Linked DNA regions of Bombyx mori. The protein of the gene in region 2 purifies or fractionates together with the protein of the main gene of each other region. This does not show direct contact. Links are inferred from orthologs where the notes say so. Each region holds a gene or a part of one and is shown on either strand. Other genes may lie near its edges. The genes, in order: protein mothers against dpp and bone morphogenetic protein receptor type-1B.

Evidence for each region.
Region 1: the proteins of bone morphogenetic protein receptor type-1B (region 2) and protein mothers against dpp purify together in Drosophila melanogaster (affinity purification with western blotting; 3 studies listed by BioGRID). This does not show direct contact. The link is inferred for Bombyx mori from reciprocal best matches to the Drosophila melanogaster genes tkv and Mad.

Annotation. Positions count from the first base shown.
Region 1 is NC_085118.1:1,283,524-1,287,459, forward strand, and holds the start of protein mothers against dpp, read right to left. Parts: upstream 2,171-3,936; 5' UTR 934-2,170; coding exon 826-933; intron 1-825. Other genes in the region: pneumococcal serine-rich repeat protein-like, read right to left, coding at 2,226-2,383, 3,431-3,936.
Region 2 is NC_085109.1:1,487,666-1,491,601, forward strand, and holds the start of bone morphogenetic protein receptor type-1B, read right to left. Parts: upstream 2,394-3,936; 5' UTR 2,028-2,393; coding exon 2,018-2,027; intron 1-2,017.

The DNA.
Region 1 (3,936 bases), on a different chromosome or scaffold from region 2:
CCGTCAGACTATAGCTTATAGATAATAATTGAAATCCTTGACGAAATGGATTTTAATACAACAAATACTTAATATTTTAGTGGATATCTCAAACAGAAGGAAGCAAAGAGAATATTGCAGTACTGATATGTTACATACACACAATCCCTACTTAGTTACTCTATCACTACTAAGAATCCTCATCACACTTGCTAATCGAAGGTCCCCTATTGCCATTGGGTTGATATCACAAAAATACCTACAGAGATGCTAATCAGATCATTAGGTCGATGGTAGGCACTAATAAGCATTAGTCAAACCCTTAGGCATATGTTTTATAGTGAAGTTGACAAAACATCTCATCTGTTTAGGTAATAAAATAAAAAAATAATAAAAAATAAAAATAAAAACAAAAAAAAAGCCTATTTCCTTATCCTTAACTTTCATTTGAAATGTGGTATTTATTTGTTAGTGTTTAGTTAGTTATTAATGCTTTTTGTCTAAATGTTAGTACGAGTTAATTTTTGTTATTGGATATGGACCCCTCCTCCGGTGAAGGCCTCCTCCAGTCCTTTCCACTGATCTCTGTCCTTGCCGATCGTTTGCCAGTTTAGTTATAAACACCGAATACAAACTAAATGCTAAATTTAAATACTGTTTCTCGTCTCATTGAAATAAAGACATTGTAATTGTACTAACAGAAGATATGAGAAGTACATTCATTTCTGTTAGTAAGTTGTCGCTTTTTAGACATTTATGCTTAGTCAAAATAATACCATATCAATACCAATAGTCCTAACTTCAATGTGAGATATAGGTTTTATAATTATTAAAAAATTTGATTACCTGTTTCCAGCCAAGTAGTTTTTTGACAGCGGGACTGGTAAATGAGAATAGGCTGTTAAGGCTAGACATAGGCCCGCTACTTGAAGACTCGCCATCGTCAGTGTCCATCCCTACGTCCTGTTATGAGTCACCGGCCAAAGGCACACGCGTCCCCACAGTCACCGCGGCAACCGACACACCATCGATCAGCAATTCGGTATTCCCCACGGTGTCCCGGGCTAATTACGAACTCCACAAGATTGGCGTGACAATTGCCAAGCGTCCGGCCCACTATGATTTACGGCCTCCAATTTCAATCACTTGTTTACACATTCATCAAGAACGCGGTTTTTTTTTTAATTCAATGACTGTCCAACAGAAGTTCCTTAGATAACAAAATTTATTCAAGATTATAAAAAATAAAACGCTTAAAACGCAACAACTAGAATGCCAGTTAATTAACCAGTTCCTTTTTTGACGTTACTGTTAATGTTGCCATCAATATTCTGTCGGAATAGCAACATACTCTATGTCACTAATAACTAGAATTAAACTATATAAACTAATTTTAGCGATAGATCGAATTCGAGTGACAGAATAATCGAATCACTGACACATAATTGTAGACACCGGAGGCCGTGGCACAGAACACTATTACTTCTGAGGCAGTGGCATCTTTTTATCCCCAGTATTGTTTATAATTATCTAATCACAACTATTAAAATAATCTGTGTATCTAATAACCATACATAATACACTTATTATTTCTAATAACCACCTTCTTCATCGTATACTGAATGTTTTATAATTTACTGAGGCAAATAAAACAGATTTCCGAATATGGATTTTCGTGACTCGCCTAAAGTTAAATAAGTTGTAAACTAAATGAATAGAGACAAATTTCAAATGAAAAAACTTTTTTTTTTTTTTCAAATAATAATTTGCGCAGCCTCGTGATTATTTAAAAAATATATATTTTGGTATTAAATGCGAGTGAGTATGTATGTGTGCAAGTTGTACGTGAAGATCTGAAAAGTATTTCCTAAGAAAATTGGTGCTAGCATGCGGGATTTGACCTAAGGTCTATACCCTAGCTCCTAGTTCCTAGCTCCTAGCTACGGATAGCCGTAGTGGTTGGTATGATTGTACCGGGCATCTTATCCATTAGACCACAAGGACTAGCGTAAGACGTATTGGATCTTCTTTCTTTAAAAAGGTTATATCGATACACATCACATCTTGGCATTGTAAAAAGTACGCTTATCATTTAGTTACAAGCTTTTATAATAGTAGTACTTAAATTAGGGTACGGGTGAATATAGAATTGATAATAGTTTTATTTGTATTACTGTATTATTTATGTAACTAGTATGGATTATAGATGGATAAGAATGACTTAATTAGGAGGTATATCTATGGATTCATCGTCTAGGTTTCAAAGCACTTCCATCCAAGCTAATGAAGACTGGCTTGCTATTCAGGTCACACGAACAGTAGCAGCGTCCATACTTGGATCCGTCTTCGACGATCAGAGTCTTCAATGTTATTTCGTTTTCAACGGCCATATGCATTGCCGGAGCTGATAATCAGTAAAACGTGATTAGTACATAACAGAGTAGAGGTTACTTTATTTACAATGCTTAAAAATATTTAACGAGGTTATGATTTTATTTTATATTTATATTTTAATAAGTATTAATCACATGTTTAATTTAATATGATAATAATATGTAGTATCTGACACACTGTACGAAACTTGCTGAAAGTTAAAATTATGAGTGAGTCTATTAGGGGTCTACTATGGGTGAAAATTACGTATTCGAAACGTCACTAATCATTTATTGAGAATTAAATACGGGGTATTAAAACGTAACAGCTATTTCAATTACTCGTATGTCTTAAACTCAGGAAAGCCAGGGAAAGTTTTTTTTAAATTAATTTATAGCGGGAATTTGGAAACATTATCATACATATAACGCAAACGAGTTACTATTACAAATCTTACTAGACGTGCACCGCGGTTTTACCTGCGATACATTTCTAATTCATTAATACTAAAATTCATATATTTTCCCGAGATAAAAAGTTGTTTTTCAATCTTTCTCGTCCATAACCAGTCTATTTGTAGATCCTTGGTATCTACGTAAAATCGTGAACCAGAGAATAGGTACAAGGTCGTCTTTACTATAGCGAATGATTTTTTTGTTCTTGCCTGGATCAAGTACTTTATCATGATAGTAGTATCATATGCATACACGTTAAAAACCAGTGAAGTTTTCACCAATGAATCTACTACCGGATCGGACGATCCGCTGAGAAGAGCCGAAGAGAAACTTAGCGGGCTGATATGTACCTATATGGGTTAGGTTGCACGTCAAACTCTTTGCCGAGCTCGACGATTACGGTTTCCAGGGTCCCTGAACCTGCTCCTAGTGTTAGAACTAAAGGCGTCTAGTGCTGAGATTAATGGATCTGGTGGATCCGTAAGGACGTGCCGTGTTGTTTTTGTGTGAAAGAGTACCAAATATCTATTAATCCTCCCAAACTTTGGCATTTATAAAATAAGTAAACCATATAGGGACATACATACATTATGTACTAAAAATAAATCGAAAATAAATCATACCTTGATTAAATTTAGATAAATCATATCTTCCTTTGCGTTTATCTTCATTTTCCCCGACATCATCACCGAAGCCTTGGGTAGGGTTGATTTCTCGGTAATATCCTTTTAGGGTGCTCCCGATCGGACTCTTTGTTGATTTTGTTACTTGTATGAATGGCCTATGTTCATTTGATTTTTTGCTTTCTGGATTTTCTGTAGTTGTTTCGATTCGATTAACAGGTTTGGTTGCGAATTGTCCAGGTTGTGCGCTCGACTGTTGTGTTTGGACTGTGGACTGTGTAGGTTCGATTGATGATTGCAGAAGTTCGATTGTTACCTGCAGAGGTTCGTTTGATGACTGTTTAGATACAACTGTCGATTGTGTTATCGAATGTACTGGTTCAGTTGTCGATTTCAAAGGTTCGATTGACGATATCGCTTTGACATTGAATACATTCGACTCGCGCGATTGTATGGGTTTGACAATCGATGGAAATGATCCCATTGTTGCCTGTGTTGATTGGTCT
Region 2 (3,936 bases):
ACTACTTCATCACCTGTGGGATAAGGATAATAGTATAATATGATAATGGCCTGCTTTAATTTCCCCTAAACCCAAATCATGAATATTGCCCGTGGCAGCAACTATACCATTCGCTTATTTCCGCATTCAATAGCAAAATTACTTCAATTCACTAAATACTTTTATAGTACTAAAGATCATTCAAGACTTCTTTTTAAAAAAATAGTGCTGCAGAAACATCTAGAAAAGTCGGCTCGATAGTTTCTTCAAATATGGCCAAAATTATGACCCTAAAGTATTGGGTAGTAAATGCTGGAAATTAGAAGATGAAGTGAAGAAGTCAAGGAAAAGAATAATTAATGAAACTTCCGAATTCACGATACCCAAAGATTTCTGAAGCATTTGAATGTGTGTGTGTGTGTGTGTGTGTGTGTCTGTGCTGTGAAATGTAATCAATGATTCCATTGTAAAAGTGTATACACAGTTGACCAAAGCGTAAATTGAAAAGACTCAATGTACCGTGACATTGTGATTCTCTCGATACCTAGAACTCGTTCAAGAAGTAATTAACAATCCTTATGGGCTCTTTTTAATATAACCTTCCTCTTGATGGAATTGCGCATTGTTTACGAACACTGCAGGGTTTTCGACAAAATCATGTCTATATAAAGTTTGTACCTAAATATTTTATTTATGGTCTTCGAAGGCATGTCATCGTGTCGTATGCTTTTGCCACCTGTTGGGAAAAGGTCGCCGCTACGCATAGACATGGACATGACACATCAGAGGCAAGATGAATACTAAGCGAGAAATTATCACATACTTCGTTTGTGGAAAATCATTAATAAAGTTCAGGTAGGGAAATTAGTTCCAAATTTTTAAAGACTAAAGAAAGATCTTTGGTAGAGCAGCCCGCAAAATTAATAAGTGGCGACAGTTGAAAAGAATTAACTCTATACCAATATTCAATTGTACGACACTATGGATTTTCTGTTGAATTTATTTCTTTTAAACTTTAAACCGGACAAATTTTAATGTGGATTGAACATTTCATTACGACCGTAATAATAAACTTTTTATGTGGCTTTTTTTTGTGTCCTATTTTGAAAAGCCACAGGTACAAGGGCTGGCTGAGGAAAATAAATACAAAAGGTCCGAGAACAACAATGAAATCAGAACAGGTAAATCTTAAAACCGAACCATTTGCTGGAGAGAGCTCGGAATAGGTCTATTGTTCAAATTTACAATGAGAATATATTAAAGTAAAAAAAATGATTAGAAATAATATGTTTAACTGTTATTGGAATACAACAATCTATGTAACTATATTTATCAAAGTTATGATAGGTGTGTCACTCAATATTGAACAATAATTTTACAATCGCAGGATCAAATAAACAATCCCATTTTATGTCCAATCAAAAATACTTCAATAACTAATTTGTCTTCTTATAACGAAAAAATGATTATATGATATTGTTGTGACAAACCATCTACGATAAAATATGGTCAATTAAAGAAAAACAAATCTTCATTACAATCATTAAGCGTGTCATTTAAAAATGGATTGATTTGTAAAACATAAACAACCACTTGAAGAATTCACCTCAGTGTTTGTATTTTTCTTTTTCATTTGACTGGATATGAGTTTGAGTTTTACTCGCCTAATAATGCAGTACCAGAGGACGAAGGAATTACAAGTTAAAACTTACTAGAAGACCCGAACGTTGCATGTAAAGTTACGACAAACACAGGAAACGATGAATGAATCAACATGCACATCCTTTCATTATACAAATCCGCTCCGAAGACGGAACCATGGCAGGAAAGCCGTCCGACTAAAAACTATACAAGATTCATCTGAAACTTCGACGGAACACCTTCCAAACAACATTATTTTACATTATGAATCTGAGATCTTTGGAGGCACCATTCTCAGCAACCTTGGAGCCGTCGTATGAAACATGATATGCAGGCTTGCGGGCATCAAGCCTCGCAAAGATTTACGATACAGTTTAATACTAGGCGTTGAACGTACTCAGCCTCATGTCGTCGGTGTTTTGCAGCGAGCCCAGTCCCGATTCCGCTCTATCATTTAAATATAACTCGGAACGCCGCCGTCTGTCGCCGACTTTATTTTTACACCACCAAGATTAAAACTGGACAGTCACAACGCACGGATTTCTCGGGATACGTAACAGTTGGCGCGCACTGATACACGTTAACGTATTCGGACGCGTGTCCTCCGCGTGACGCGTGGTGCGCGAATGAAGTGACGGAGCGCTCGACTCGAGTGGCGTCCCCGCAGCCCTGCCCCCTCCCCGCGTGCACTATGCACCGCCGCACCGTTCGCTGCACAGCCTCCACATGGCTCCGTGCCGAGATAATACCCAACTAATAGGTATACAACTTCGCACAGACGCATGATACACATATTTAAATGCGATTCATTGACGACAATACAATACGCCGATCGATAGCTTATGTGATCTACTTTTCAAGTATAAACAACGGAGACACGGTTCATTAACACAAACTGTTGAATTGATTACGGATATTGAATGAATTATTGAGATCGATTTAAAACTGAAAGAAGTGGTCCTTGGGTACCTATCCTTTTTTGGCACATGCTTTTTTGGAAATTAGTACTGTACATACTAGATAACATTCTAATGCTATGCGATTCTGCATATCTAACATCTGTCAGTAGCTGTAGCTTTTAATAGTTTACGACACGTCAATATTCTTACTTGCACATGTTATAAGACAGAAGTGAACTATAAAACTATACCGAGGGCCCAACTAATCGGGCGACCGTTAAGGTCCCGTGTTTATGGTTACCATTTATCGACGCTTTCTCGACTTATTCCTTTAACGTTTCCTTTGATCGATTAATACGATAGTTGCGATGTTCATTTTCTTTGATTCCCTTGATACGTGTTGCTTTATTTCGAACCTGTCGGAATTGACATCCGCGAGAGTCCATATGGGGATCACGTGTGCGGGTCGGGCCGTCGTGGATAGCGTCGAAGTCGTAAATTACTCGAAGTCAGAGAGAGACCAGGGTGCTTAGTGCCAGTTTTTTAAGGTTCTCGCTAACGTAAAAGTTAGCTCATATTTGTATGTAATGGGATCGTTTGCGTACATTTGTAACTAGGGGCGCCAATTAGCCAAAATAGGGCCAAAATAGGGGTTCCAATTGCATACAAAATGGGCTTAACTTTTATGCTATCGAGAATGTTAAGAAACTCGCACTAAGCACACTGCAAAACGAATGCATCTCGAGCACGGAGGCGGCGCGCATCCACTTCAAACGATAAAACCAAACGCGCGCACGTGATCGTTGCCAAATCGCACGTAAATCACTCTTATGAATTCAAATTGCACGCGCCACAGATCCATTGTTCTCGACTACCGTTTTAAGCATCAATTTGCAAATAATGTAATGTCATTAGTTTAATACGAACCATGATTGGAGGATTTGATGGAGCGGTCGTGTCACTAACGGACATAATGTTAGTTGTATTCCGCGTAGTATTGACTTTATTATACGCGCGAGGCTATTTTCTCACGAGACTTGCTACTGGGGTGTTTCCACTGCACGTTTTAAATCCATGAGATTATTAGCAAATACCATCCATTGGTGGTAGCACGACTTGTGACTCCGCACGGGTAGGTACCACCACCCCGCCAATTTCTGCCGTGAAGCAGTAATGCGTTCGGTTTGAAGGGCAATGCAGCCGTTGTAACTATACCGAGACCTTAGAACTCATATCTCAAGGTGGGTTGCGGCATTTACGTTGTAGATGTCTATGGGCTCCGGTAACCACTTAACACCCGAACGATTTCTGGAAAATAAGCGAATCACATCATATTAAATTAGAGAAAAACCTGGGTCAATTCGAATTAGCTTAATGGAAAATCGAACAAACTGACGCCTTCAGTGCAGGAACTGTA